Notamacropus eugenii: one gene and its partners. The protein of the gene in region 1 purifies or fractionates together with the protein of each later gene. This does not show direct contact. Links are inferred from orthologs where the notes say so. Each region holds a gene or a part of one and is shown in the gene's direction. Other genes may lie near its edges.

The links.
Region 2: the proteins of RPRD1B (region 1) and PDRG1 purify together in Homo sapiens (affinity purification with mass spectrometry; 3 studies listed by BioGRID and IntAct, with this or other methods). This does not show direct contact. The link is inferred for Notamacropus eugenii from reciprocal best matches to the Homo sapiens genes RPRD1B and PDRG1.
Region 3: the proteins of RPRD1B (region 1) and POLR2F purify together in Homo sapiens (affinity purification with mass spectrometry; 4 studies listed by BioGRID and IntAct, counting the BioPlex papers as one, with this or other methods). This does not show direct contact. The link is inferred for Notamacropus eugenii from reciprocal best matches to the Homo sapiens genes RPRD1B and POLR2F.

Annotation. Positions count from the first base shown.
Region 1 is NC_092872.1:428,752,585-428,763,164, forward strand, and holds the start of RPRD1B (regulation of nuclear pre-mRNA domain-containing protein 1B), read left to right. Parts: upstream 1-3,342; 5' UTR 3,343-3,778; coding exon 3,779-3,929; intron 3,930-4,081; exon of another isoform or gene 4,082-4,123; intron 4,124-7,746; coding exon 7,747-7,876; intron 7,877-10,580. UniProt on the Homo sapiens protein: Interacts with phosphorylated C-terminal heptapeptide repeat domain (CTD) of the largest RNA polymerase II subunit POLR2A, and participates in dephosphorylation of the CTD by RPAP2. Transcriptional regulator which enhances expression of CCND1.
Region 2 is NC_092872.1:431,255,825-431,266,404, forward strand, and holds the start of PDRG1 (p53 and DNA damage-regulated protein 1), read left to right. Parts: upstream 1-5,785; 5' UTR 5,786-5,920; coding exon 5,921-6,049; intron 6,050-6,265; coding exon 6,266-6,341; intron 6,342-7,595; coding exon 7,596-7,670; intron 7,671-9,567; coding exon 9,568-9,648; intron 9,649-10,298; coding exon 10,299-10,381; 3' UTR 10,382-10,580. UniProt on the Homo sapiens protein: May play a role in chaperone-mediated protein folding.
Region 3 is NC_092874.1:295,434,030-295,444,609, forward strand, and holds the start of POLR2F (DNA-directed RNA polymerases I, II, and III subunit RPABC2), read left to right. Parts: upstream 1-4,873; 5' UTR 4,874-5,216; coding exon 5,217-5,236; intron 5,237-5,898; coding exon 5,899-5,968; intron 5,969-6,644; coding exon 6,645-6,775; intron 6,776-10,580. Other genes in the region: C3H22orf23 (UPF0193 protein EVG1), read right to left, coding at 60-385, 669-809, 1,403-1,579, 3,294-3,356, 3,455-3,563, 4,399-4,458. UniProt on the Homo sapiens protein: DNA-dependent RNA polymerase catalyzes the transcription of DNA into RNA using the four ribonucleoside triphosphates as substrates.

The DNA of each region.
Region 1 (10,580 bases):
CTAGTAATGTGGAGGGGGGAGAGAAAATGGGAACCTGGGAGGCAGAATAGGCCAAAAGAAGGGAGAGTTAGGTCTTAAAGAAGGATTTGAGCTGAGTCTTGAAGAAATTGAGGTGGTGAGGGGAAAGCATTCTAGGGATGGAGCCAGACAATGAAAAGGCAGAAAGTCTGAAGATGGTGTGTCCTGGGAATGGAACAGCAATAAGACTAGTGTCTAGTATTATAGAGTACTGGAGGAGAGTAAAGAGTAAGAAGACTGGAAAGGCAGGAAGGAGTCAAATTGTGAAGGGCTTTAAAAGTCAAAAAGAGGATGTTATATTTGATCTTGGAAATAAGAGGGAGCCACTAGAATTTAGAGGAAAGAGGTGACACGGTCAGGACTGCCCTTTAGGATGACCATTTTGGTAGATGAGCGGAGGACAGACTGGAGTGGGGAGAGATTTGAGGCAGGAAGACCAACCAGAGGGCTATTGCAACAGGTGATGGCAGCCTTCTCCAGGGTATTAGCCGTGGGAATGGAGGAAAGAGGGCATAAAAGAGAGACGCTGTGAAGGTAGAAATAATAAGACTTGGCAATAGATTGGGTCTGTGGAAGAAAGGTGAAAAAGGACTTGAGGATGACACAGAGGCTGTGAGCCTAGGTCACTGGGAGGAAGGAGGTTAGGGTTTGAGGAGGTAGACATAATGAATCTGGGATGTCTACAGAACATCCAGCTCAAGATATTGAAGAGGGGGTTAGTGATGCAAGATGAGTTCAGAAGACGATCTGCATTTAAGAATCATCTACATAGAGAAAAGCTTATGAGATCACCAAGTGAGATGTACTGGGAGAAGAGGCTCCAGAACAGTATTGGAAAACACTAAGAATTAGATGGTATGACCTCTATGAACAATCAATGATGCAGGTTGAAAAAGAGGTAAGGTAGGTAAGAAGAACAGGAGGGAAAACCTAGAGAGGAGAAAGTATTCAAGAGAAGTGAAGGATCAATAATGTTAAAGTTGCAGAGAGATTAAGAAGGATGGGAACTGAGAAAAGGACACTAGATTTGGCCATGAAGATCATCATTGATCATCTCTGAACAGACTTAAATTAAGCACTGACATATTCATGGCCCAAACTATGTACAAGAAACAAAGCCATGTAAAATGTAATCAGTGATATATGTTTGGTGAACTGAAATGGCTCACGAAAGTCTTTGGCGCCAAAAATAATACTAATTTGGTGAGCATCCCCTAAGTGCACAAATGACAGCTCTTTCATCTATATAACAAAACAGTGTCATATATTTAAAAGGAGAAATAGATTTGAGAAATAGATTAGATAAGTTTGATCTGAAAACTAAATTAAAGTGCTCTGGTGGGGTGATGGAGCTAGAAGACTCATATTGCCCTAAGTCAGAGCCACAGGAAAAAGATTCATGGAAAAGGTAAGATTTGAGATGGACCCCAAAGTTAGAAAAGAGAGAACTCAGATATTCAGCAATCACAAGATTTCTTAATTTTATGAATGAGAAAAAAAGACAACTAAAGAGATTAAATGAAATGGTTAATATAAGTGGCAGAGTAGATAGATGGCACAGTGGATAGAATGGATAGACTCCTCTTCCTAAGTTCAAATCCAGCCTTAGACACTCACTAGTTGTGTGATCATGGGCAAGTCACTGAACCTGGTTTGCCTGTTTCCTCATCTGTAAAATGAGATGGAGAAGGAAATGACAAACCACTCCAGGATCTTTACCAAGAAAACCCCAAGTAAGCTCACTGAACAGTAAAACTCAACTGAAAAAGTACTAAACAAATAAACCAAATATATAAAGTGGCAAAGATTCAAAACCACAATCCTCTGCCTCTTAATCCAGTATTCTTTTGAGAGTGTATAGCACTCTCAACAAAAACAAAACTCTCTAGACCTATAGTGTTGCCGTGGGAGCACTAGCATATGAACAAAGGTACAGAAATGGGAATGACTCTGCTCTAGGTAGGGAGACCAATCTGTCTGATAGAGGAGGGGGAAGGTGCAAGTGGTTAATGCTGAGTGGGGCAGGGTAGGATGCAAACAAGTGTGCTACCTGGAAAAGAAGGCTGTGTTTAGAGTATAACAAACACCTGGGCTCTTTATCTTTTCAGCTGTGTGACTCAGGGTTAAGTTGTTTTCCTTTTCTGAGCCTCAGCTTCCCTATCTGTAAATTGGGGAAAAATAATACCTGCACAACCTTCCTAACTGGGATGTTTGGAGGATCAAACAAACAAAAAAAATAAAGCTGCTGTGAGTAAAGTGTTTTGTAAACTATGAATTGCTATATAATTGTCAGTTATGACGACAGTGAAAGGGATATTACTGGAAGATTTGAGGTGGCAGAGAAGGTATGGGAATGAGGATAATACATTTTAATTATGGCATGTGGTGCCGCTCAGGGCCGCAGCGGTTAGAGTTCTGGGCCTGGAGTAGGAATGACCTGAGTTCAAATCCAGCCTCAGACACTCACTAACTGTGTGACCCTGGGCAGGTCACTTAACCTCAGCCTCTGAAAATGGGGATGATAATAGTAGCACCTACCTCCCAGGGGGCTGGTGAGGACCAAATAAGATACTTGCAAAGCGCTTTGCAAACCTACTTGCAAAACTCTTATGACTAAGATTTACTTTCCTTATAGAAGCGCAGTGCAAGTATTACTGTTTCCCATCTTATATATTTCACTTCTAAGTTGTGGCTCTTCTTAGAAGTAAAATCCTCAAGGGCAGGCAGCTTTCTGTCTTTCGCCTCCTTTGGTATCGGAGCTTAATAAATGTTTACTGCTTCCGAGTCCCATCCTCAGCTACTTAAACAGAGAAGTAGGCCCGGAAGACAAGCGGTCGTTTGTAAAACACTCTAAGGAGAGAAATACCCCAAAGAAAGGTTCCGAACAAAGGATTACTACCTTCCTTCAGGCTAGGCGGAGATTAGGGAACCGCTCACATTCGCACCCCCTTTACCCCAGCTGAGCGAGGCTAAGACGAGCGCCGGCTCCCTACACATGCAAGAGTTGGGGGCTGGGATCCAGGTCTCGGGATTCCCAGAGCATAGGGCCGGGCAGAAGAATAAACATCTCTATCCTAGGCCTCCCCTTCCGGGCCTTCTAGCCTCTTTTTCTCCACTTCATCGGGCCCTCCTTCTCCTTTCGGAGAGAAAACTCCTTCCTCCGCTCCGCACACTTTCCCTTACCTGCTTCTCTTCTAGCCTTTCCCACCACTCGCGCTCCTTCCCGGAAGTGACGTTTACGCCGGCGCGCCGAAGCACGAGAAAGGTCCCGGGACGCCGGGAAAAAAGGACCAAGTTAGACTCAGTGAGTTCGCGCGCCGAGAAAGCGGTACCCGCCCCTTCCGGGAACTCCGCAGGGGGCCCGGCCTAAACTTCCCCCTGCTACCTCCTTCTCTATCTTCTCTTTTGGGCTGCCTTCTGGGAGGGTATATGAGAGTCTACCGAAGGTAAAGCTCAGCGGTCGTCCGCCCGCCCCCGCCCTGCTTCCCTCTTGCTTCCGCGTCGGCCCTTGCCCTTTGCCCTCCCTCGCGGTGGGGTGAGAGGTCAGGTGGCCATCTTGTGGCGGCGGCGGAGGCGGCTGTTACCGAGGAGACTCGGCCGCCCCTCAGGCCTCGGCCCCTCAGGCTCTTGGCCTGGCGTGACAAGTCAGTCTGCTGCTCGGTCTCGGACTAGGTATCGTCCCGGGCCTCGTGTCCATCGGCTGCCGCCTCCCGCTCCACGCCGCCCGGAAGCCCTCCAGTCCTCCTTCCCTCCCGCCACCATGTCCTCTTTCTCCGAGTCCGCGCTCGAAAAGAAACTCTCCGAGCTGAGTAACTCCCAGCAGAGCGTCCAGACGTTGTCTCTGTGGCTGATCCACCACCGCAAACACGCGGGGCCCATCGTCTCAGTGTGGCACCGCGAGCTCCGCAAAGGTGCGTATCCCGCCGGGGCTCCCCGGCCCCCGCCTCCCGGGCTGTGTATCGAGCCCCGCAGCACCCCGTGTGCTTCTGTCCCGCCCCCTGCCACCCCCGCCGCGATCCGAACCCGTGTATTAAGCGCCGATTGTGTCAGGCGCAGTGCTTACCCCCAAACACGTCTGTCCGTGCGGTTCTCCCATCCTCCAATCTCATCTTCCCTGACCCCCGCCTCCCCCATCTCCGTAGGAGCTGGGAGCAGGCATTTCAAACCTCCTATGGCTCAGGCACTGCGTTAAGGGGTAGGGGTAACCTTTCAGCGCACCCCCCTTCTCTCTGTCCAGTTCCCCATTCCGCCATGTGCTTCTGTCCGCCCCTCCCCGACTTGTCAGCCCAACATGTAAGCCACAGGTCTGTGCCTGCCCCTGCCCTAGCGCTCAGGAGTCCCAGAAAGGTAAAAGGGAGCCCTCATGCTGGAGGAGCTCGCAGACCTCTCCTACCTCCGTCCTCAGCCCCCCTCCCCGCTCTGCTTCTGTCTGGACAGATGATGGATCGAACACCTTTTCTGTGCCGAGTACTGTAACCCTAAAGGCCCTTCCTTTTCTGTCTGTCCAGCTCCCCAGTCCTCCATGCATCCCTCTCTGTGTGTTTGTGTCAGGCCCCTAGCTCTCCATGTTCCCCCACTTTACCCTCCCCTCGTCTGAATAGCTCCCGGCTCTCCGTGCATCCCTCCTGACCAGCCCCCAAACCACCAGGTCCCTACCCATCTCTCTCCAGGCCACCGCTACCTCTGTTTTTCCATCCCAACCTTCCAGACTAGCTCCCCACTCTCCGTGCACACTCCTGATGACTATTTAGCATCCAGCCCACCTCCACAACCGCCTCGGTCATTCACCACTCCACACAGCCCTCCCCACCTGAGTCCCCAACACTTCACCCAGGCACTCCTCCCCACGACTGCTTCCATGTCCTTTTTTCTTTCAAGTCCTCCTCTTTCTGCAAGTTTTTCCTTTGGGCAGGTCACCGAGTTACCACTGCAAGGTTGCTGAAGAAGCTCAAATGCCTCCTTTGGGAGGGAGGAATCTCATTCTGATCTATCTGCCCTGTTTTTCTTTCTCTACTCTTTGAATATCCAGGATCTTTTTGCTGGGTTGAGGAAGGAGCCTACGGGCATATGTTCTCCTTGAGGTACTACTGGAAGTAGCTAAAGTTAAGTCTTTGGTGCCTCAGACTTTTTGGTTAGAGTTGAGCTAGTTCACATCAGCAAAAATTTTATAGCTACTGCTATGTATAAGTTACTGTGCCTTCCCCAAAATTTGAACCATCAGTAGGAGTTCTGTGATAGCTTTTGATGCTGCTTCTCCGTGTTCTTCTCCACCTTTTATTAGCTAGAAGTGTATGTTTCAGAGGTCTTCAAATTTGTTTCCTTGTAAAATACCTCTGAAGTACTTAAAATTACCTTGGCCAAAATTAGTGCATTTTCATTGCCAGAAATATTTCTGTTTACCTAGTGCACACTCCTATTTTTCTCTTTCAACCTCATTTTTTTTTTTTTGGCTTATGAAGTCATCTCTATACTGTAGTTTGCCTAAACTGCTTTTGAAGAAACAATTTCTTTAAAAAGGAAATATGGTATTGCCTATAAAGTGGGTAACTTAAAGGTTGTTCTCAGGACCTCAAAAGAAAGTCAGTAAGTTTTTGTCTGTGTCCAACAATCAAATGAACTGATTGGGAGAGTGGGGTTAAAGGGTGGAAGAGAGAGGAAGAGAATGGTCTTAAATGATCAACCTTTGCCTTTTGAAGAGAGCTTTAATTTTTAATGTCACAATGGATAAGAGCTTTGTAGTGTGCTGTCTGTATATCTGGGGCTTTTAAAAAATCGCCTGCTGTTCCAGTAATTCCCAAGGTCTATATTTTCCTCTGACAAGACTTCTCTTTATACAGATGACTCCTTGCTAGGGGCACAGAATGTTTCCTGAGGAAGGGAAGAGAGTTTCATCCTAAACACATCGTAATAGCTTGGCTAGAAGGATTATGAAAGTTATTGTCATTGTTAGCAGTTAAACTCTTTAATTTCTTATCCATAGTCTTCTTACGTAACTCATAATTTCAAGTGCTGGAAAAGTTTCAATTCATGGGTTAGAACTTGAAGGGAACTCAGTGTTCACTTGCTCATAACACCCTGATTTTGCAAAGGAGGTCCAGAGAGGTTGAATGACTTGTCCAAGATTGCAAAGGCAGTACATGACAGAATTGAAATTTGAACCCAGATCTTATTCCAAATGCAACCCGTTCCACTTTGCCATGGTGCTGTTCTGCAGTGTCCAAATTGTTTTCTTGTTATTTGGATTCTGGGTTTTTGAACATAAGGATATGAAATATATAAACCTTTATTTAAGGAGAATTGGCTATCTTGTTATTTTTTAATTCATTATTGATTGATATCAATGCAGAGTTGGCATTTACAGATTTTTCCAGCTTTCCAGAACAGATATATGAAAAGAAATAGCTTCTATGGTATTTATACCTTTCTCCCAGTAATGAGATATAGGAGAAATTATTGAATCCACTTTTGTTTTTGACCAGTTATTAAAACTGTTAAAGTACCTTTAGAGTATTAAATTGCTTATTTGTTGTTCTGACTTGTTACTCGATAGTTTTGGAATTGAGGGCAGATATATTTATATGAGCAGTTGGGGAAATGTTTAAACTATTATGTTATTTAAAAGCCCCAAATTTAAACTTCAATTATTCTAAATAGCTACATTTGAAACTGTTACCTAATAACTGTTGAGTGATACATGCTATGTGCCTTTCAAAAGGGGAAGAAAAATGGAGCAAAGACTAGTTTGTAAGGTGGGTAAAGGTTGAAATATAATACATTTGAGTTCAAATACTTTGGCATTGAAGAAAACTTAGTGTGTTCAGATATCTGATTATACTTTTATTTATTCCTTTAAAAAAAAAAACCTTCACCAGAAATTGGTGATACAACTTTATGGTTGGGAAGTTATGTGCATGGAAACCAGGAAATTCAGTAATGTTCCCCAAAGCAACTGTAACTCAGACATACTGCATGAAGTTTTTATGGTTTAATATATGACACCATATAGAGTAATAAGAAATACTAAATCTACTATGTATAAAAAAAAAATCAAGGGTTTTGTGGGAGTCATAATTTTTATTTTCCTGACTTCATGTGTGTAAATTTTAAGTAATAATCTAGTAACATAGCATTAGTATATTTTTGCATTTGAAATAAAGAATATATCACTTAGAGGTTTCTCTTGGATTACAGAATCAGCTACCTTGAAGGACTGATGGCTAAAAATGTTTAGGAAAAAAAACTTAGCTGTTGGTTCATGGATAACAAAGAATGATTTTTAAGTAAGAACAGGTTCCGATTTAGTTTCTTTCTTCCGGGAACATACAGTAATTAACAACAACAGATAGAAATGTTCATTCTTGCAGTATATTCACAGAATTAAATGTTTTGTCTTGCCATATGCTATTGGATTTTGAATTCTTAACTTTTCATTTTCTTAAGATAGTATTTTTAACTTTGTGTATTTGACAGATGAATTTATTTCATGAAGAAATTGACAGTTATTTCTTTTTATATTAGTTTTAGGCCAGTTTTGGTAAAAATATTAAGGTCGTAAGTGCATTTTTTGCTATATTCCATGGAGTTTGTTAAATACATAGTCCTTGACCTCTAACAAAGATGTGTTTGTAATCTGTTATATAGTAAGTAGACTTTGGCAAGAAACTGACCATGAAATGATAAGTACCATAGTTAGAATGTCAGTTAAAGTATTTTCTTTTCTTCTTTCAGCCAAATCAAATAGAAAGCTTACGTTTTTATACTTAGCAAATGATGTCATCCAAAACAGTAAGAGGAAGGGGCCTGAATTCACTAGGGAATTTGAATCTGTCCTCGTGGATGCTTTTTCCCATGTTGCCAGGTATGTTGTCGGCTTTTTTCTTTAATTCTTTTCTTACTTTGTATGAAACCTTCTACCACTTGAAAATTAAATACTTTTCTCAGGATATTTTGCTAAAGAGGCCAAATTAATGGTCTTCCCTCAAGCTAAATCCTTAAAAGCTCTCACAACTATATAAACATTTTGTTACATTATGAGAGTTCAATTCATAACACATAAGGGATACTCTTACTAAGGATACTCTTTACCCCAATTATGTAACAACTTATCCTAATACTTTTCTCAGAGTCATATTTCACTTGGATTTTATTGAGTTGTCTTTTTAGCTTGTGATCAATAATATGGTAAATAGCATATTTAGTTTAAATTTTCTTAAAAGTGACTGAACAAACTTCCTGTCTCTTAAAGATAAGAACCCAAAGTGATAGTCCTTTGACTTATATCAGTCTTTATATTAAGAGGAATTTTAGGTGATGGTGCCCTAATAAAAAGAAATAAATTGTATCTCCATTTTTGCCTACATGCTCTGTTTCCAGGAAACAAAGTTTTCCCTCTGTTTTTCTTTCAACTAAAGATAAGACTTGTTTTCATAATAGCAAAAGCAATAATTACTAATGTGCAAAATCTATATTGGCTCTCTAGTGTCTTGCTAAACCTTTCCTATTTGTTTTTGCTGAAGACCTACCATAGTAGGTTCCATGTAGTGATGTAAATGACAGCCTGAATGATTTTAAATGTGATTAAAAAAAGTTTGTCACAAGAAACTGACAAGTGTTTATTAAGTTCTTACTATATACCAGGAAGTTTGCCAAGCAGTGGAGTTACAAAGAAAGGAAAAAAAATTATATTCTAATGGGGAACAATATATTAAAAATACCTACATATAAAATACATGTAGAATAGATGAAAAGTAAACTTACAGAGAGAAGGTTCCAGCAGCTGGGGGGAGGGAATTAGACCTCCTGCAGATAGTGGTTTTTGAACTGTATTTTGAAGAAAGCCTGGGAATCTTTAAGAGGTAGACTTGAGAAAGAACATTCTAGGTAGAAAATGGGAGATAGAGAATCATGTAGGAACAAAGAGGCTGATACCTCTGGACCTCAGAGTGCATGGAAGATAGTAAAATAAAAAGGCTGAAAAAAAGGTAGAAAGGGTCCAGGCTATGAAGAGCTTTAAATGTCAACAAAAGACTTTATATTTGATTCTGGAGGTAAAAATACCATAAGATACTTTGTATCTAGGAATAATTTGATTGAATCTATAAATGCTAGTCTATAGTTATGGAATATACCAGAAATAAAGGGGAGCCAGGAAATTTGGAACTGAATGAAAATTTTCATCTTGAGAAATTGACACATATATTAAGCATTTTAATAAATATTTTCATAGCTAAAATTTTAGAAGGAGAAACACTGCTTATGTCAATATTTTGGCTTGAAACATGTTTAGGAAACATCACTATATATCTTTTAATTAAACATTTAGCTATAAATTGTTTTCCATAGAGAGAAACAGGAGAAAAGAGAATCTGGTCATTCTTTAGTGAAACATTACTTGACATTGAAACAAAAAAACCCAAAAATGAAATCTCTTCTCTTTTGTCAGAAGAATAAAATCAGAAAAAAGGAATGAGGTATAATTTTGAAAAAACAAAAAGGAAATAGAAAAATATTTGAGTATATTATCAAAATATTTTTCCCTCTTTTGCATAGAAAAGCTAAATTATAAACTGATGACACTAAAAAAAACTGAAGCTTTTATTGGCTTTTATGTGATTAAAAACTAACTGGGTCTTTCCAATCTAAGTTCATTCTTGAATAAATGACTAGAATATAATACTTGGAATGGTATAGGAAGTCTTAAAATAAGGAAGATTGCTTTAGAAGTTGATGGTGCCTCACCTTCAAAACCTACATAATATACTTTAAGAAGGTAGAGGTAATCCTTAGAGCATTTGCCTGTAAGAACTGCTCAGAATGACTACGATTAAAAAATGGAAAGTAGCTTTTTTTTAGAGAGAAATTTTGGGAATTAAAATTTGATCTACCTAACTCTTATGACTAGAAATTCCACTCAGAAATGCAGACATTTAGCACCTGGAAACTATGCTAGATGTTGAGGATACAAAGGCCAAAACTAACCCACCGTACCTTCTAAAAGGGGCCAAATGTAGCACGTAACCAGATAACGACTGCAAGATAATTTGAGGGGGGGAAGAGCACTAACAACAGGCAAAAAGGGGAAAGTTAGGAAGGTGAGCTGGAATATATCAAAAAATAACTTTATAGTCATCGGAAAGACCATGGGTACTGGATTAAAGTTGTCCATAAGCTTTGTGAGAAAGTGAATCCTAACAGTATCTTACTCCCCCTTTCTTTCTGCCTTTTTTCAAAAGCTACCTTTGTATTCAGTGCTCTTTTTTGTAAACTAATAGTTGATTTGGACACGCCCATAATCAAGTTCAGATTGTGATTAAAAGGTCACCTTGTCAGAAGACTTGCATCTCTTCAACTAAATGGGTTGAAGATTCTTTTTACAGTTTTACAGTGATGACTTTATACTGAAGAGAGTTGATTCTTTTAGTCCAGTTGATATTGCACATTTGATTATCATTTTAAAAAATACCGGCAATGACAATCACCAGACCAGAGTCAGAATTAGTAATCTGTGGAGTGGCGCTGTTTAAAGTTATAGTTAAGTCCTTACACCCGAAAGACTAAAAGAC
Region 2 (10,580 bases), about 2.5 Mb from region 1:
AAGAAATGGAATTTTGGAGAAGAAAAAGGTTTGTTTAATTTTAGACATATTGAGTCAGGATGCCAACAAGACATGTATTTCCTAAATTGGCATAAGGGATATAGAAATTTAAACACGGGGTGTAGGGTGTGTTCAGGCAGTCCATTTAAATTGTCTCAGAAAGATTCTGAGGATCACCTGGCATGACAAGGTACCAGACACTGAAGTTCTTGCTCGAGCTGAACTGTCAAGTATTCAAACTATGCTTCAGAGAGCACAACTCTGATGGGCTGGCCACGTTGTTCAAAGGCAAAATGTACGCCTGCCAAAAAGACTATTTTATGGAGAATTAGCATGGGGCAGGTGATCACATGGTGGCCAGAAGAAACGATACAAGGACACTCTCAAGGTCTCTCTCATGAACTTTGGATTTGACTGTGCAACATGGGAGACACTGGCACAGGACCGCTCAGCATGGCGTGCCCACATAAGAAAAGGTGCTGTGCTCTTTGAGCAACGCAGAATTGAGACAGCACAAAGTAAACGCAGGATGCGCAAATTTGGGATATCCACCCCAAATATTCATACAGACTATCTGTGCCCAACCTGTGGTAGAACATTCCAAGCTCATATTGGTCTGATCAGCCACAGTCAGACACACTGAAATTTCACTTTACAATGGTGATGTCATTTTGGTCCTCTTCGAAGATGAAGGACAACAACCAACCAACCATATACATACACACATATACATACACATGCACATATATATACATACACACAGGTATATGTGTATGTATATATATATGTGTAGATGTATATGTGTGTATATATATATACACATATATAATTTTTTATATATATAATGTTATATCTGTCTAAGTAGTTTTTCTCTTCTAGAACAAAAGTAGCAGTCCTTGTGCTTACATCTGAAAAGACAGCAAACATCTATGTGATCTTGTTGCAAATTAATCTCTCCAAGACTCAATTTCCTCTTCTATAAACTGAGGGAATTGAGTTTGATGGCCTCTGAGGTTCTTGCCACTTCTGTAGCTATGGTCCTATGATCTGCCCAGGTCCAAGATGAGAGGGAGGAGCTTAATCTATGAGCTTTTAGCTTTATGTCAAACAATGGGGAAGCAGGGCAATTGTCTGTCTTAAGAATTTAAGGTGGACAAGGAGTCACTAGGACAAAAAAATTAAAAGAGGAGAAACTGGATCAATCTTGAGAATTTAAGACCAGTGATGAAAAAGGAATCATTGGGACAAAAATATACATATACATATCTATACAACTATCTATTTACATATGTGCATTTTCTTTAATAGGTGGTGCAATGGTTAGAGTGCCAGGTCTGGAGTCAGAAAGACCTGAATTTAAATCTAGCCTCAGACACTTACTAGCTGTGTGACCCTGGACACTTAACCCTGTTTGCCTCAGTTTCCTCATCTGTAAAATAAGCTGGAGAAGGAAATGGCAAACCACTCCAGTGTCTTTGCCAAGAAAACCCCAAATGGGATCATGAAGTCATACACAACTGAAAATGACTGAACAACAAGCATGTTGTTGATGTATATATTTTCATGTTACATATACAAAGAAAATACACACACATGCACACACACACACACACACACACACACACACAATTCCAATCAGCCACTTTTACAATACTACCAAGTTCTAAATGCATGATGTAGTGGTACACACTGGCCTTGTACCTGGGTTCTGTGTGATTTTGGAAAAATCACTATATCCCTTTAAGCCTCAACTTCTTCATCTGTATAGGGTTTAGGCTAGATAGTCTCCAAAAACCCTTTGACAATTTAACTGGGTATGGGAGAAAGGCAAGAAAGATGGAAGAGTCAAAGACAGCTCTGAGTTTACAAATTAGTCTAATATGTCCGATCAATTTCTGAAGTGGGGGGAAAGAGGGTAGAATTCAGAACTCTAAAATCCCTTGTACCTTACTCTAATTCACTCATTCTAGAGATGAGGGACCTCTAAATTACTCCACAAACTATCATCTCTCCTCATCCCTCTTCACCCAATCTGACACCATGTGGTCGTAGTCACTTTGTCAACAAGCATTTGTTAAGTACCAGTTATGTGTCAGGCACTATGCTAAGCACTGGGAATACAAAGAAAGAAAAAAAAAACATGGTCCCTGGCCTCAAGGAGCTCACATGCTAATGGGGGAGAGAGCATGCAATTAACTATGTACGTATAAGATACATACAGTGTAAGTGGAAGGCCATCTCGGAGGCCAGGCACTAACAAAATGAGGGGCAGGGGGAGACAGACAGCGAAAGTAGAAGGTGGGATATAAGCTGAGTCTTGAAGGAGGCCAGAGAATCTAGGAGAAGTAAGGAAGGAAGAGTATTCCAGACATGGGGAAAGAATCAGAATCAGAAAATGGAGAATCCCCTATGAAGATGAGCAAATAGATAATTGTGGCTGGGTTGTAGAATACAGAAAGGGGAATAAAGTTTAAGAAGATTGAAAGGTAAGGGGGGAAGGTCATAAAGCATTTTTTATTGGATCCTGAAGGTAATAGAGAGCCAAGATCAACCTGTACTTTAGGAAAATGATTTGGCCACTGAGTGGAGGATAGATTTGAGGCAGGGAGAATGATGAAAAGTTGATTGCATTAGTCTAGTCATAAGGTGATGAGGGTCTGTACCAAGCTGGCAGCTGTGTGAGTGGAGAGAAAGGGACAAGGCTTGACAACAGATGGGATATGTGTGATATGTATAAGCAGGATTTTCAGTAGAAAAAATTTGGATTTATAGATAGGGGAAGGGCTGAGAGTTGAAACTGGTTGTTGACCAGTACACCTCCAAAATATAAGAAAGTAAGAATCTCCCAAAAAAAGGAGAAGGCCCTTTTATAAAGTGTGAAAAATGTCCTTGATTGAATTAGAATTTGGACGTTATGTGGGCAAGAGATTGGTCCTGTCCTGGATCACCCTTAAAAACAGTTTCAGAGTTAATGTGAGAGTTCAAGATATAGTTGAAATGCATCTAACAGGGACACACATGAGAGACACACAGTCTTCAGAAAAACACAGACTCAGGGAAGGAGTCTAGTTGAGGAACTTATGTCAGAAGTAAGTTGTGGGCAGAACCTCTGGGAGCAAAGAAAAAAACCTGGCTATGGACTAGCCTGGCAATCAAGAATCAAGCTGGTGAGAAAAACAGACCCTGGGAGCACATCTAGGTGACCTGTCCAGCAGAGATACTGCTAAGAGGAACAGCACAAGGAGAGAAAGGAAATCAAGGTCCTACAGTAATAGCCGTGGGAGTTGCCTTGTTTTCCTGTGTTTCCTACGTGTGGGACTCACTGCCATTATATTCATAAGTTTGTACTCACTCTTCCCACTGTGTGTATTTGTGGGAATGCATATTCCAGGCTTATGGAAGGAATGTTTTGAACCTACTGTTTTTACTATGCCATCTTCTGTAAGTGTTTTTTGCTTTGAGTTAATTGTTAAGAGGATGCCTGGCGGTTTGTGAACTAAAGTTTTAGGATTGTAGACTCATAGGATATCCTTGAAACCTGGGAGCATCCAGTCCCTCTCCTACTCTGGGGTCTAATCTGCAACCTTCAGGATGAGGATTAGCTCCCAGAGAAGGGGCTACACAGAATTTAAGAATCTTGGTGTTGGACAGAGCCACAAAGGCCATCTAAGCCAACTAGTACTTGAAATTGTTAGAAAGTTTTTGCTTAAACGTACTTAAATATTTATAATGACAATCTTGGTTTGGGACCAGAACGAAACTGCGTGTGTTTGTCCTTCCTTGCCGAAGAAGACCATGCCATCAGAGAAATAATGACATGACTTGCACTTGACTTTGTTTTGAGTGAGGGAGGGCTGTGCAGGTCACCAGCCTCACTTCTCCTCCAGAGCCATCTGAATCCAGTGACCAGATATTCATCAGGATGACTGGAGATGACCCAGGATGAGGCAATTGGGGGTAAGTGACTTGCTCAAGGTCACACAGCTAGTGAGTGTCAAGTGTCTGAGGTGAGATTTGAACACAGGTCCTCCTGACTCCTGCACTGGTGTGCTCTATCCACTGCACCACCTAGCTGCCCCTCTGAATGAAACTGCACAAGTTATGAGAAAGCAGGATAAAGTGTGTGTGTAGGATTGCTCAGCCCTATCCCTAAACCTTTTTTTTTGTGTGTGTGTTAACAAAAGAAATGAGATTGATCCTAAAGACCTGTGGTGATCATGGCAAAGATCTGAAGGTAGTAACCTTTACATAAAGTTGTTTTAATAAATCATGTAATCACTAGAAACTCAATCATCTAAGTCTTATAAATGAAGACAATTGGTGAAAAGTAAAATTTTCAAATGTGGGCTGAAGGTTTTAAAGGATAGATGACTGATTTTCTAGTTTAGTAATGCTGAAATATATTCTATATTATACACCTTGAGCCATATGAAGTTCAATGATAAATTCAAGGTATCATGAAATGGCATAGCTCCATGAGGCTCAGTGTTATGAGTTTATAGGCTGAATAGCCTGGAGGGTGGAGGGAGCCTTTTGGGAAGGTGGTGCATGAATACAGAGTAACTTGGCTGGTAGACCCAGAGTTGAGCCACCTGTGGCCATATTCCCTTGTAGGTTAATTAATTTTATTGTTATTCAATTGTTTTTCAGTCACATCTGACTCTTCATGACCCCAGTTGGGGCTTTCTTGGTAAAGAAAATGGTTGGTTTGCCATTTCCTTCTCCAGCTTATTTTACAGATGAAGAAACTGAGACAAATAGGGTTAAATGACTTGCCCAGGGTCATGTAGCTAGGAAGTGTCTGAGGTCAGATTTGAACTCATGAAGATGAGTCTTCCTAATTCTAGACCCAGGACTCCATCCACTGCACCACCTAGCTGCCAAGGCTAATTAATTAGCAAATGAATTCATTGATAGCCTGTTTTTCTGAAGTTTTCAGAGAGTAGAAAAAGGGGCTGTGGAATAATATTCCTTCTGCAGCACCAAGTGTACACCAAGCCCATACCACCACTAGGGATGAAGCCCAAATCTGTCTCTTTCAAACTTATATATACTTATTAGTCCTAGTTTAGGGCCAGAAAACCCAAGTTTTAGAGAGGACCCCCTTGTTACATCTGCTGAGGATAAGAATAATATATGTTGAAGGTCAAAGACTGTAATTTTGCCTCCCTGATAAAAATATTATTGTTCTTAGAGCAATTCCTTTTCTTTCAACATACCAAATTATTTGCACCAGAAAATTCCTAAAGCAGTGAAAGCTAGAGTTTTTTTATAACATAATAAAGTGTGTTTAGTTAAAATTTTTGAATCTGAATCACGTCATTTTACAGAGAAGGAACTTTTCCAGGGTCATATAGATCCTGTAATGATCATCATCTAGCTTCTTCCTGAAAACGTTCTTTTGACTCCTCCAGTCCACAGGTAGCTCTTCCCTTCTAGGTCAGGGCCATAGCTGTGGACCTAAGCAGGGAGAGCCTGACCTAGGCTTCTGGAAAGTCCGTCCACACCTGCACCATGCACCTGCCCCAAGCTCCACCGAGCAGGACCCATGATGAAGAGGAGGAGGAAAGGGCGGGGGGAGGGGAGGACACGGTGTGAGATTCACTCCACTCTCCCCACCGTAGGACTCGCCCCGAGTCCTGGGCGTGCGGGAGAAGGTGACCCTTCTCGCAGCTGTCACTTTCGGACTTGAGGACTTCCAGAGCAAAGCCTGAGCTCCACCGGACGGAGGCGCCAAAGTACCAGCACACGTGCGTCCCCGCCCAACTCCCGCGGGCCCAGAAGGCGTCGTCACGTGGCCCCAGAGGCCGTCCTCCCCTTCATTTCCCCCGCCCCGCCCCCGGGCGTGCGTCCTGACCTACGTGCCCCGCGCGCGCCGGCGGCCGCGTGCGACTACGTAGCGTGCCTGCGTGGCTGGCGCATGCGCACAGGGAGACTGCCGAACCGCACCATTGCCGGAGTCATGTTGGGGGCGGAAGCCGAACGTGTGTTGCTCTACCTGGGGGAGGTAGAGGAGCTGGCTGAGGAGGTGCTGGCCGACAAGCAGCAGGTTCGCCAAGGGCCCAGGAGCGAGGAGAACGCGCTCTCAGATTCCTGCTCTCCGTACTCCTCCATTTTTTCCTTTCCCCGACTTTGAGCCTGGTCCTTGCACAAAGAAGGAAACTGAGGCCCGGGGGCGGAGGATGGGGGGGAGGAACGGGCCAAGATTGCGCCTCTGATCCCCTCCCCCCTCTCGGCCCCACCCTGACGTCTGGCTTTCTCCTAGATAGTGGACCTGGACTTGAAAAGGAACCAGAACCGGGAAGCCCTGAGGGCCCTTCAGAGAGACCCCAGCCAGTCGGGTGAGTTGGGGGCGAGCGGGGTCTGGGGTCATGCGGGTCACTCCCCGGCCTCTGCACGCCCTTCCAGGGGTGACCCTGGAGTCCACGTAGAGCCGCCTGCCCATGCTGGGGTGCTTCCTCCCCTGCGCCGCTTGTGGGGAACATTCGGCCTCTGGCCCAGCTTTGGGTTCCGAGCACTGACCCTGCGCCCTAGAAGACTGTGCTTGGAAACGGCAGCTTCGGTGGAACTGGTGTTCTCTAACTTTTAGGAATGTTGAGTGTCAGCAAGACTGGATTTACTGTGACTTTTTTCTTTTAGGGTCAGTATCAGTTAAACGTCTTTTATTCTACATCACAGCAGTAGAGCCAAGAGGGGAGGGAAAGACGAAGAAAACCAAATCAGATGGAATATTTACATCCAGAATTCACATCACTTACATATTGGGTCCAGAACACTATATACAGTAAATGCCTTTGGGGACATGGATATAAATTCCTTTTTTTTTGTTTGTTTGACATTACTTTCCTGTATAGTAAGATAGGGTTGTGGGGCTTTTTTCGGTATTTTATTTTTTAAAAACATGAGTGTACAGAAGTGGTTAGAGATCTCCATTTTCTTTCTTTCTTTCTTTTTGGCCAAACTAGGTCTTAAATTCTAGCACCTTCCTTAGGGAATTATGGATACATGAAGTCTTACAGAGAATACTCGTAATAGTGGACATATAGCGCTTGAGGATTTGTGAAGTGCCCTACATGTTATCTTATCCAATTCTTACAATAACCTTGTGAGATAAATACTAGTATCCCTGTTTTATAGATGAGGAAATTGGGACTGAGCAGGGTCAGACAGTAAGGATGAGGAAGGATGTGAGGCCCTGTCTTTCTGACTTCCAAATCCACTAAAAACTCTGCTTCAAGAGTCCTTGAGTATCACTAGCTAAATTTGGCATTAGCCCCAAAGATACTGGCCTCAGTGAGGGGTACGACTAGTGCCCTTATTCTGGCTTGTCTCCTTATCTTTGTAAGAGCCTTTTTTGATTCTCCACATCCCCCAACAGCTTCTAGCGTCCTCCCTCCCAAACTACTTTAAATGTATTTGTATCTCTTGATATGCCACATATATACCTGTGGTTTCCTCCATTAGAATGTAAGCGTTTCAAGAGTAGGAATTGTTTCATTTTTAGTATTTGTGTCCCACAGTGCCTGGCACATAGTAGGCGCTTAGTAAATACTTGCTGATTTATCAAGCTGACCATGCACTATTTACTGTTTCAGATAAAGTGATGGTTTGCTTTGGAAACATGTTCATCAAACTTCCTCGACCACGGACAAAGGATATGATTGAGAAAGGTAAGGAGCCCGAAAACTGTACTGTGAACACCAGCTTCACCTCCTAAATCAAATTTTACATAGCATTTAGGCTCAGGTTTTAATTCAAATTGATCACAAAGTCTGAGTTTCAAAAGTTTGATAGTCTTTGACCTGGAGTTTTAACTTTGGGGCATATACCTCAAAGAAGTCAAAGACAGAAAGGCGGGGTGTATGTGTGTGTGTGTGTGCATGCTTGTGTATACACATAAATATGCATAGATGTGTGTATATATATATACATATATACATATATATACACATATATCCCAAATTATTCACAGCTACACTTTTTATAGTAGCAAAAAACTTGAAACAGTGAGTATGTGCTGATTAAGGAATGGTTGTAAGAAACAAGTATGAGGAATTCAGAGAAAGGGAACATAACATTTGAATTGATGCAGAGTGGAGTAAGCAGAAATAGTAAAATGATAAACACAGTGATTACAATTTTTTTTTTAAAAAGTCAGCCCCTAAAACCTTCTTCTTGGGGTCAGTTTTTTTGGAGGGAAAGGGGTTGTGGGGCATCAGTGCTGAAAGACAAAACCAGGATCTATATCCTTCACTGGGGAAGAAGGAATTGAACATCCCACCATCCTGGTACAATGGAAGGAGCACTGGCTGGGCGGTCAGAATCTGGGTTCAAGTCCTACTTCTGCCTGAATTTGTAAAAAGACGTTGTCGTCTGTGTGATCTTGGGCAAGACACAACTTTGCTGGGACTAAATTTCCCCCTTTTCAAGATGGACTAGGTGGCCTCTGATGTCCCCTCCAGCCCCAAATGTCTGATCCCTGTGGAATCAAAATTAATCAGAGTAGAATGGTATGATTTGAAAACAAAGTAATTGACAGTTCTTGGTATCCTGCCCCAGAAAAGAAATTCCACAGTCTGACCAAGCCTCTCTTACTGTATACTACCTCTTTATTCTAGCCAGACCATCTCTTCACTTTCCGTCTGGCACGCCACTCCATGCTTTCTCATTTCTGTGTGTTTGATCTTGCTGTTACCTTTGCTTACAAGCATCTTCCTCATCTCATTGGTCTTCATAAATTATATACATTCTTAAAGGTTGAACTTGAGTCCTGACTCCTGCATCCTTCCATTTGCTGAGTCATTAATCTGTGCCACTCATTAGACAATTAAACATTTCCAGCGAGGCATTCTCTTTGGACAGTCAGTTTCTTTGGCTAGATGGTATGTAGTACCTAGACGTGTTCTATAATTCTTTGTTAATGGGAAGCTCTTGACATCAGGTTATAAGAATCATAGAAATGTCAGATTGCAAGCAATTTTAGAGACTGTCTAGTCCAACTCATTTGTTTTTCAAAGGTGGAGTCTTCAAGGAAAGTCACTTACCTGTGGTCACCTAGCAGTTTGTATGCAGGCTTTGTTTAATAAGTCTATGACTTCCTCCTTTCAGCCCAGCTTGCATTATGGTTCACACATTCTTAGCCTCAACTAACCCCTCCTCTTCCTCTCAGACAACAGTAAGCTTCATCAGCCTGGTTTCAACATTAGGCTGCCTCTCCCACCCTAAACACAACTGCCTTTTTTCTGCTATTCTTTGGGACCTTGGTAGAGCATAATAGAACTCTCATTCCCACTCCTCCAGATCCTTCTGTTGACAGGCAGTGTGGTGGTATTGTGTGGAGAGAACGCATGGCTTGCCAGGACACCTGGAATGAGTCTTGACGTTGCCAGTAGCTCTGTGACTGTGGAGAAGTCATTTGCTCTCCTAGCTTCAGTTTCTTCCTTTATGAAATAAAAATAATGCTACTTGCACTACCCACTTCATAGGATTTGGAAAGAAAGTGCTTTCAAAACCGCAAAATGGTCTGAAAAATGTTAGCTGCTGTTGTTTTTTTTTGTTTGTTTTCAGATCAGGAGCACCTGGATGAGGAGATAGAGAAACTCCGGAAACAGTTGAAAAGGAAGGTCAGCCGTCTCTTGGAAGCCCAAGGTAGGTTCATTCGTGGGGACTGAAAAGTGAGAAAAGCCAAAACCTGAGTCCCAGGTTAGCATGGATCTCAGAGGCTGGGGTAAAACAAGTAAATGTAGGCATCCAAAGAGTGAAGAAGAGGGGCACAGTGGACTGGCATGTGCCAAGGGCCTGGGCCATTCTGAACTCTTTATCTACAACAGTAATCTAGACCCATTGAAAGTTTCCTCACCTGTGCTTTCCAATTTGTTATTACTCACTTTGGTCGCATTGAATTAGCTCATGACAAAAATTGAGTCTAAGAGAGGGGAAAGGCAGGTATCACCCATGGGAGATCTTTATGATTTTGGGTGAAACCAAAACTGATTCCTCTTCCATGGCAGCAATTGAAGTATATCAGTGGGCAGGAAAGCCCCTGAGATAAATGGGGAAATAAAACTCTCGGAACCCTCAAGAGTCTTTCCAAACCCAAGAGAAGTGAGGGAATCATTGTTGCTTAGTTAGCACAAAACTGTTTTTGCTTAGCTTTTCTTATGATCCTATTAGTCCTTCCCATGGTAGTGTGTAGAAGCCAAGGAAGCTCTCTCAGCTAGAATGTGATGGGACCAGCCTGTACCTCCTCCACATCATTCTTATATTTCTCTGACCCATTGACTTGATTCTCCCTCTAGGTAAACCAGAGTTGAAAGGATTTAACTTGAAGCCCCTGAGCCAAGAGGAGATGAGAGCCCTTAATGTCATCTTGAAAGGATGAGGTGTGGCAACCAAGAACCAGCATGAGGACTTAAACCATTGACCCGTAGATGCCCACAGAACTGCTTCACAACCGTGGCGATAGGATATAGTAGGAACTAGCTTCACAGATCAGATAGCAGTTTGCTACTGAAGACTTTTGTTTATAGGATTTGGCTGCTCTATTAAGGCCAGGAACCTACAGCCTATTATTATCCACC
Region 3 (10,580 bases), on another chromosome or scaffold:
GATCTCTACTCCCACCAGGTGCATGTTTGGAGGACACTGGAGTCCTGGAGTGCAGCGGGCTACAAAGGGGCAAGCTGATGGTGACTGCCATCTTGGCCATCGCCCCTGCCCCAGGCACGGCTTCGGCTCCTTAGGCAGAGGCTTTGGGTAGGGCCTTCTGAAGGTCTTCGTTCCTCTTCTGGTCGATATCTTCCATCTCTCGTAGCTTCTGCAGAAGGCAGGGCACAAAGTGGGGTCAGGGAAGAGGGGTGCGAGCAGGTCGTGGGATCCAGAGCGGGTCCTACCTGTGAGATCTCAGTAAGGATGATTCCTCTGTACTGCTTGCCCCGCCCGAGGGCCTCCATCTCAGCCAGGAACTCCTGCCTCTCATGGACTTCCTTCACCACTGAAGAGGAGAGAAAACTCATTCACACACAGGAAACTCTCCAATCCTGTTCATCCCTCCTGCCTGAAATAGGAAAGGCTGGATTCTCCCCAGGCCCGAGAATCCCTTCTCTCCCCTGCCCTGGCCTGTGATATCACAGTTGGCCAAAGGTGCCAAGGCTCAGAGCAGGAAGGGACCTTGGAAGCCACTTGTGTGACAGAGATGGGCTGTGCCTTGCTTGAGGTGGCCCAGGAGCAAGGTTGGAATACCCTCGTGGGCCCCAGGCATACTCATAGTGCCTTACATTCTTCAAATCTATCTGGCTCCGGGTCTGAGGGCAGAAGCTCAGCCTGCCGAACAGATGGCTTCTTTTTCTTTTTCTCAATGCCTTCTTTCCCATTGGCAAATATGTTTTGGAGCCGCTCCTTCTCCTTCTCTATATCTCCTGCAGGATCCAAGTGTGAGAGATGGATGGGAGAATAGCACACATCCTTGGACTAAATGGGCATCCGTACCCAGGCTCCCTTGGGGCATCTTTCTCTCTGGAAGAAGGGGGGAGGCACAGATAGGGCAGTGAGTGGTGCCAAAGAGCCAGGTGATGCTTTGGTGATGTAGACAGGAGCAGAGCTTCACATGGGAGACCCACTCTCAGAACAAGGCTCAGGGAGGGAGGAAGGAAGGATGACTGACAGCCTCTGCCTTGCTGAGGTGAGGTGAGGAGGGAGGAGAGTTGCTCTGGCCTCACCTTCAGGCCCTGCTCATCTTACCACTGTATCCCAATAAATCTCCTTGGGACACATAAGTTTTGTGGATTTTGTTTTCCCCTTTCCCCTCCTGCGTCACTCATTCCAAAAGGCATTTGCTGCACATGTTGGAATGGGAGATCTTGCCCAGTTCTCTGGTTCATTTTAAGGAGAATCTTGCAAACTCAAGGAAATTGCCCTGTCTCAGTATCTGTCCTCAATTGTGCCCATGGCTAGGGCAGAGGTTGGCAGTGCCTCATCTCCTTATTCTGAAGCCCAGGGCTTCAAGACTTACGACAAGGTCTTGGCTTGAACTGGTCTCGGGTGTAGGCCTCAGTGGCCTGGCAGACTTCAGCAGGGCGGAGATGGGGCCTTGGGGCCAAGATGGGAGGCAGACACAGGCTGTTGATTCGTTTGGGCATTGGCTTCTGGCTAGATACTGGGTTGCAGTAAGAGGGCAGCGCTTCGCCTCCTGGGGAGAGACCAGAACAGAAAGAAGTCCAAGACCCAGGTACCAGGAGTCCTGCCTATGGCCAGCCACTTCCTAGCCTACTCCCCTGAGCCTCAGTTTCCCTATCTGTTCAACAGAGATGATTGACTTCCAGTGGCAGATATGCACCAGTGTAAAGTCCTGTCCAGGTCAGCAGAGGAGATGAGGCTGGGGGCAGGAGGAGGATGTGGAGGAAGGGCCAGGGAGCCCAAGGAATGATCTCTACTAAGGGTTTAGGAAGGGAGAGCATCCAGATGGAAAGATATGCAAGAATGCCCCCTGCCCCGGGGCCTTTGCTATTCCCCAGAGCCTCCAGCTAGCAGGCAGCTCCAAGACCCAAGTCATGGGCTTTTGCAGGGAGTCCCTGGAAGTAACACCCTTCTGCCTTGTAGAGTTCATTAAACTATGCAACTCCTTAATGCATTTAAACTGATGTCCATCCTGTTTAACTGTGTCCCTCTACTAGTTTGGAAGCTCCCAGAGGGCAGAGCTATGTAGACGTCTTTATATCCTGCTTCTAGCACCTAGGTTGGGAGCTTCTTTGAGCATGCCCTCCATAACTGTGGGCTGGAAGAATCAGGGACCCAGTGTCACTGAGCTTGAGCAGAGGGAAGGGGGGGATTCACAGATACCAAAGACAGACATCTATCATGACAAGACCATGAAGGAGCCTGGCCATCAAAGTCTGGTAAGGAAGGATGTCAGAAGTAGCAACTTTGGAGACAGAGGACCCCAACTCAGATCCTGGCTTCTTACTGGGGCTGGAATGGATGCTCCCAGAGGTCCCAACTCTACATCTGTAATCCTGGTAGTGGCACAGGACAGGAAGCAAGGCCTAGTGGGGTAGTTTGGGATAGTAACAACTGACATCCTGACTGGGTGACCCTCTCTGTGATTTCAACAGCTCCCTAAGGTTGCAGAGGAAGTAGAGGGAGTGTCCTCACCTGAGAAGTCTATCAAAGAAATTACAGGTCCAGTCCCTGTAAGGCTAGGGCCTTAGGAATGGTCCAGGTAATTGGTACCAATTGGTAAAGAGGAAGAAGAGAGACCAAGGCTACAGCCTAGGCTGGAAAAATTTTACTGAAAAGGTGGGATATGGATAGTCTTAAATTGGATAAGGGAAGTGGTACAAAGACTTGGGAGGTGAAGAGGAATGTCCATGGAATGTAAGGGGAGCCTATTTGGCTGTGGAGGAGAATTCCCCAGAGGGGGGCAGTGGGAAAAAAGTTTGGACAGTCAGGTTCAGGCCAGATTGTGGAGAACTGTCTTGGAATGGAATGTGTCCCACAGAATTCCAGAGTTGGATGACTTCTGAGGTCCAGTCCCATCTTCTCTCCCTTTTCAAGTTAACCCTCCTGCAACATTCAACAGAGGACCCATCTCCCATTTTACTGAAAAAGTTAAGGCCAACAGAAGTGAGCACCCTCAAGATTGCTCTCCCAAATGTCTCAGTTCAACTAGGCCAGTGATTTTCATGGAAGGAAGATGGAATCTGCACCATCCTCCCCAAAAGACCAAGACTAGTTTATAGATATGGAAAATGAGCCATACACAGATGACACATTACATCCCAAAGGAATCTCTAGACACTATGGGAGAAGTGCCTAATCAGCTATACAGCCATTACTGTGCCATTCTAGTTAAGGCGTGAGGAGAGTGTTGAAAGGGCAGGAGGAGGATCAAGGCTTCAAATTACTTTTCATCGAATCCATGAGCTGTCGCTGCTGGAAGCTGGTGAGTTTGGACTCCTCCATCATCACTGCAAAACAAGCAGGTGATATAAGAGCCACTGGGCTTCTAGCCCTCCTGGGGCCCTGTCCTGATCAGCCCTTCCTTCAGGGCTGTCCCTCCACTGACCTTTCAGCAGCTGACAGGTTTCTGGGGTGTAGCTGGATTGCCGTGAGTGCCAGAAGCCAGTACCTTTGGCCACAGCTCCTGATTTCCCCTTTGCTGCCATGGCAAAACCCTACAGGTGGAAAAGAAAGGTTTTTAGGACTAGCCTTCCCAGAATGTTGAGAGCTGAAGGGGATCTCTTCTAAGAAACAGGCTTGGGGAGAAGGATGACTTGTTTAAAATGAGCCATTGAGCAGTGAAGAGATTTCAGGTCTGGTGATGGGTGGAAGCAGGTCTTGGGAGAGGGCAATGCCATTAGCAGGGTCATTCTACGGACGGATGTGTGGTTCTGCTCAGCCTCGGAGGGCAGTCTGACAAACAGGAGTCATGGGTGCAGATTTAGGCTTGACGTCTAACAATTAGAGCTATTCAAAAAGGAGAAGGGTTCCCTCTCGCTGGAAATAGAAGGCTGGAGGATCGGGTGGGAGGAGACCATGGTGTCATTGGTCTAGAATGGGAAGAAGTCTCCCCCAAACGTGGACTTCTTGAAGACCTCCAGGGACAGGGAGCTCGCTACTTCCTAGGGCAGAAATCGTCCTGAGCAGGACACAGGGATGGGGGATTCCTAGAGGGGGGCCGGGGGGTGGCCTCGGTGGTCAGGAGGTCCTTGCAACTCTGGGCTTCTTCTGACCCCGAGCAGTCCAGCCTCAGCTCTACCCAGGCCAGGCCTGATGGGAATCATCTCCTGCCCTCCGGGGACGCCCGAGCGGGGGGCTCAGGCTGCACCGGCGGCGACGAGGAGAGGCGATCGCTGCGGCCGGCCCTCGGCGACACAAAGGGCGGAACTCGCCCCCTGTGGTGCTGGGACGATCGCGACAGGCCGCCCTTGTCGGGGAGGTGCCACGTGACAAGCCCCCCGCGGCCACCCGCCCTGGGCTTCCCCTCTCCCCCAGGGACGGGCTCCGGACCGCTCCGCTCTCCCCAACGGGTCCATGGGGCTCCGAGCAGCGGCCGCCTCCGGCTACCATGGCAACGGCTGCGAAGGCCCCGCCCTCAGCCCGGTCCGAGCTTCCCGGGCCCCTGGTCCCGCCTACGCTGCCATGGCAACCGCCCAGGCTCTAGGCTCCCCTCCCTCGCTTCAGGCTCCGCCCCTTCACGAACATTCTGGGCCCCGCCCCTGGCATCTCCTATGCATGGCCTAGCCATCTCCCCTCAAGCCCCGCCCCTTCCCCCAGCGCTTCCGTATCCGCCTCCGGCTCCTCTAGGCCCCGCCTCCAGGTCCTCTGTTCTGGCTCTCCCTCCCCTCCTGGTTCGGCTATGTCACTGCACCGGATCGGTCTCGGTCTCCTCTTCCCAAGAGCTCCCCACTCTGCTTCCGTCTCCGCCTCTGGCTACCGGGGGAACCGCCGCGCGCCCTGCTCGGGGCTATCCGGCTCCTCTTTGCCATGACAACGGCAGGCCCACGCCCCTTTTTGGCGTCAGGCTCCACCCCCTGCCCTCTCTCTGCCCTTCTTCGCCCCAAGAGCTCGAGGTTCCGCCCCTTGGCCTATTACCGGAACTTGCTCATATGCTAAGGTCACCGCGCAGGCGCAGGGAATTCTGGTAGGGCCGGTCCGGAAGTGGGTGCTGGAAGTCGTGAGTTTGGTCTCAGTGGCGCGAGCCCGAGCAGTGCAGGAGGCCAGACCGGGTGGCTTGGGCTCGTCGGGTTCCGTGAAGAAGGTTCTGCTGGGAGACAGCTCTTCCTGGCCAAGGCGGCCACTGGGCCCGAGCCCAAGGCTCCGCAGGCATGTCTGACAACGAGGACAAGTGAGTGCGGAGAAGGGGCAGATAGAGCGGCCCGAGGATGGGGGGAGGGGAGGGGGATGGAAGGAGGGGGATGGAAGGGAGACTGAGAAATGGGGGCTCAGCATTGGAAGGTAGGATGAAAAGAGGTGCAATCACAGAGGCATTATGGCCTAGGGTCAGAAAAGCCTGGCTTCGCGTCTTGTCCCGGATCCTGACCCCTAGATGATCTTGGGCAGGTCTCCCCCCGCCCCCCCACCCGCATTAGCACTGGCCTGTGCCCCTCCGATGTTGGACTCCGTGGCTTCTGGTGTGAGGCCTCTTTTGTCTCCTCTTGTAGAATGAGGGCAAGGACCGTCTGGTCTCTGTCTCTGTCTTCTTAGGTGCCTGGCGCACACACCCTGGCAGGTACTGGAGGATAGTGATGTGCACTTGGGGTATGAGTCTAGCACCTTGAGGATCCTGAAGCCACATGGGGACAGATAAGGCCCGGGGGGGGGGGGGGGGGGGGGAGGGGGCGGTCACTTCATCCAGCTCCCTCTTTTTACAGTGGGAGCTTCTCCACCTCCAAATGCAGCCTTCTTTTCCACTGCCCCAGCAGATCCAGGCTAGAATTGGGGGAGATGGGGGAGGGTATTTGGCCCTCTCCGAGCACCCAGGTTCACTGGTGCTTTCTTCCTGTACAGTTACGATGGTGATGACTTTGATGACGTGGAGGAAGATGAGGGTCTAGATGACTTGGAGAATCCTGAGGAGGTCTGTACTTCTCCCATGGCTCTTACTGCCACAGCACAACTGAGGCCAGGGCTGGGTGCCAGTCACCTGGGTGCCAATCACCTGGGTGCAGAGCATAGTATCGTTCTAGTTCATGGCTCTTCTTCTCACCTGGAACCCTGGAACCACAAAGGTCACTGAGCATAGAGTGGAACAGCCCCCCCCCCCCCCCCCCCGCCTCCCCCCCCCCACTGTAAACCAGCAGCCCTGTGTGCAGACAAGCCAGCTGCAGGCTTTTCATGCCATCCTTTGTCCTTGGCTGCTGGGGCTCTCAGTCCCTTCTTGCAGGTGAAGCGTCGTGGAAGGGACAGATCTAGGACAGAGTTACTTTGGAAGACCAGCCTCTTCCCTGGTTTCGGGATGTGGCAGCTGGCCGGGGGTTTCACGACAAGAAGTACATTTCCATTTGACCAGTCTTGTGGCCATTCAGTAAAATTTTGGTCTGGAAGCCAAAATCTTTTTAAGCTTTTCTTCCTCCAAACTTGTCACCTCTGTGGTTTATTCCACTTGGAAAATGGACTGAGCCCTCTGTTGGGGGTATTCGAAGTCTTACTTCCCCATGATCTCTGGTTGAAGTTGCCAGGAGCCTCTAGGTCTGAGCCTTTGACCTTTTACACCCACAAGGAAATTTCCCACTCTCCTCTCCCTCTTTTCCTAGGAGGGCCAGGAGAATGTGGAGATCCTTCCCTCTGGGGAACGGCAGCAGGCAAACCAGAAAAGGATCACCACCCCTTACATGACCAAGTACGAGCGAGCCCGGGTCCTGGGCACCCGGGCCCTGCAGATTGCGTAAGTAGAAATCCCCCTTTCCCTACTCATCCCCCACCCCACTCCCACCCCATTGACATCTCAGTTCAACTGACATTAAGAGTACAGGAGCTAAAATGAGTTTGAGAGTCAGGAAGCCTTGGCTTCAAATGCATCCCTCGTGGCCCTTGTCCAGCCCTGTTGCTTCTAGCTATGCTGTCCTCTCGATGACAACTGAGCTGTTAATGGGTTGCAATCTGCCTTTGTCAGAGGACTTTCTCCACTAAGGAGATCTTAGGAAATTGACACAGAGTTGAAGTCCAAAGTTTTGTTGTTGTTTAGTTGTTTCAGTCATGTCTGACTCTTCATGACTCCATTTGGGGTTTTCTTAGCAAAGGTACTGGAGCGGTTTGTCATTTCCTTCTCCAGTTCATTTGACAGATGAGAAAACTGAGGCAGATAGGAAAGTGACTTGCCCAGGGTCACACAGCTAGTAAGTGTCTAAGGTTGTACTCAGCCCTATGTTCTGTCCACTGCACCACCAACTGCCAAAGTCACCTAGAAGTCAAAGGCCCAGGGCTCACTTTGACTTGAAGTAAGTCATTTCATTTCTCTGGTCTCAGCTTCCTCATATGTTAAATGAGACTGGACAAGGTGACCTGAAAGGCCCCTCCCAGCTCTGAGTCTTTGATTCAGGGACATGTGCCTTCATGTCTCTAGTGCCCAGCATAGTGCTTCCACCTGCTAGGCCTGCAGCCTTGAGGCCATGTACTAGGCATTTAACAAATGGTTATTGAGTGAAGGGTTAATGAATGAAAAAAGCCTATGGTCTAAGTGAAACAAGTACACAGAGAACTGGTATAAATGATATTAGTGCATAGTAGAGATGCAAGGAAAAACCAGGAGGATAAATTGGTTGAGGAAGAGATGGCTTTCCCCTGGAAGGTTTCATTGGGGCCTGGAAGGAAGGTACTTCCTAAGGCAGGGGCGAGATGAGAATGAGGAACAAAGGGAAGTCTGTCTTTGTCAGAACCTAAGTGGTAGGAATGAATGAACGAATCAGTGAGTGAGGCATTTCCTAAGCTCTTCCTTTGCACAAATCACTGCTAAGCACCAGAGACACAGAATAGTCCCCCGTGCCCTCCAGGAGTTCACATCTTTGTGGAGGAAACAACATGGAGGGAAGGTTTCAGCTGCCTGTCAGATGGACGCTTCCCATCGGCGGCAGCAGCAGCAGAGTAGATGCCAAGCCTGTTTTTTTGTGTCATTGCCTCTGACAAAATCATCAGTTATTGATGTTGAATGCTTTGACAGCCTCAGACAGAAAAGAACTGTCTTTTCTGGGTGTTACGGAAGTGCCTGGGCATTGTTCTTGGGCACGTTCTGTTTGGCCTTTCTGTCAACCGTTTGGATGAAGGTGTGATTGTCAGATGTGTAGGTGACGTGGTTCTGGGAGGGACGACAGACATGTGGCTGAGTCTAACAAGATCAGATGGAGAGAAATTAGTTTTAACCCCCCCGTGTGGGTTCAAAATTGTCAGCTGAGGACGTTCAGACAAGAAGGGTGTGACTAGACCACATCACTTGAAAATATCGGGGGGCAGGAATGCTAGTAATTTCATGAGCATTAACAGTGTGATGATGTGGCTGCCAGAAGAGCCCAGAGGATTTGAGGATCTATCGAGGGAGGCGTAGCAGTCAGCCCAGGGGAGCAGATGGGGAGCAGATGAGCAGCCTCTGCCCAGGCCTGGTCCCATCTACAGGGTTGGTTTTGTGCTGAGGCTACGTTTTAGGAAGAATCTGACATCCTAGTGCTTCTTCAGCAGGTGCAGGACGGTCTGGTTGAAGGAACAGGGGCAAGGAAAACTTGGCGTAGGGGGAGGTATGTGATGCCTGTCCTCTGGTATCTGAAGAACCGATAGGGAGGAGGGGCCAGCTTCTCTGGGCTCAGAGGGCAGAAGGAAGAGTAAAAGAGATAGAGAGGCAGATTTTGACTTGATAAAATGATGCAACAGTGTGTGGGAGGTAGAGCACTGGAGGGTTCTCTGTGGGGTTTTGAACTGCTCCTGTGACTTTTGGGGCCCTTTAGACCTCTGTCAAATCAAGGGTCGGATGAGGGTCAGACTTCAGGGAACCTCTGGGGCCAGTTGCTCCATTTACGGAGGTGGTTCATCCCAAAGACTTGGCCAAGGTGACATGGGTAGTAATTGTTAGGCAGGATTCACACCCAAGTCCTCTGACTCATGAGCCCATAAAGCTGCATTTGTGCTTTCTGTGGAGGGAGAATTTTCTGTAGCAGTTTGATCCATCCCCAATAGAGGAGCCTGCCTTGGAGATACCGGGGTCTCCATTATAGGAGAATGCAGGTAGAGGCTCAGGTTACACTGGAAGACCTGCATTTCCCTCCATCTCTGAGATTGTCTGACATGCATGTGAAAGTAGGACTCTGAGCTGGGAAGGGTGGCATAGGCTTTGAGGCCTTCCTGTTAGTCAGGACTCTTCCTTTAAGGCCATTCTTGTGGACTTTCTAGGCTCCTTGAAGCCAGGACTTCAGTCCTAGATGCCTCTGTGTCCTGTCAGGCATCCAGCACGGGGCCCTTCTCAGGGAGAGTTCAAAAAGAGATCAATTGATCGATTGATGTTCTTGGCCATGGACTGAGCAAACTCAGTTTAAACTGACATTTAACTTGGGAATCAAAGTAGAAACAGGAGAATTATCCATGGGTTTGCTCCTTACCCCTTATTGAGGTTAACGGCTGCCTTGGAAGGGGTTTGGGCTGGTGGGCATGGGCTGCCGGCTCCAGCCTCGCCACCTGGCGGTCACTGCCAAGTAGGACAAATCAGCTCCTTCTCTAGCCTCGTGGTGTGCCACCTGGTGGTCACTGCCCTATGCTGCAGGCACTGTTAGGCCTTGGAGCTAGAAGTGAGCTTAGAGATCATTTCATTGTACCCTGTTGCAGAGTATGTACGTTGCCAAGTACGAGGGTTATTTTTTTTAAATAAAAAAATTCACAGTTGTAGGAAATGTTATCCTATAGGCCCTGTAGTGCCTCTAAATGAATTTTTATTTCGTGGATCCCCAGGTTCAAGACCTTTTTAAATAGTCTTCAGAATATACTGTGCACTTGTTTGTTAAGACTAAATCACCTGCTGAGAGGCTACTGGCACTGATTTTTAGAAATCCTACGTCTGGTGGAAATGAAGGCTTCAACTCTAGATCCCAGACTGAAAGGACAGAAACAGTTTTGCTTTTTTCCTGTTGAACGTTTCTCATATAAAAGCTTCATCACAAAACTCATTAGCCACACTTCATTTTGTTTGATCTAAATAAAGCCCAGAGTGAGTGGAGTCAGTATGAGTATGAACATGTGAGCCCCCTCCCCCACCAGTCTAGGAACCCCAGATCTTGCCCAGTCTACTACTTTTATGGGAAAACCAAGGCCTGTGGAAATGTCATGACTTGCCTGAGGTGCTCCAGGCAGAATTTTACATAATAGGGTATTAGAGTTAGCAGAGTGCTTGGTTTCTGGCTCAACCCCCCCATTTCACAGAAGAGGAGACTGAGACCCACAGGAAGAAATGACATTTCAAAGGTCACAAAGTTCATTAGTAACAGTCAGGATTGAAGGTGAGATCTTCTGAGACTAAATGAGAAACCATTTTGTAAAGTGCCTCCCAAATCATCCATTGCTCAATTAAGTGTCAGCCATTATCTTCCTTCCTATTACAGTTGCTCCTGGGCCAGGCTGTTTCATGGTATAACCTGCTTAGGCCAGAAAGGCTTAGCCCCTACCCTGCTGGAAAATCTGGCCAGTAGAGACAGGGAGGGGCATCTCCTTTTCCCAAG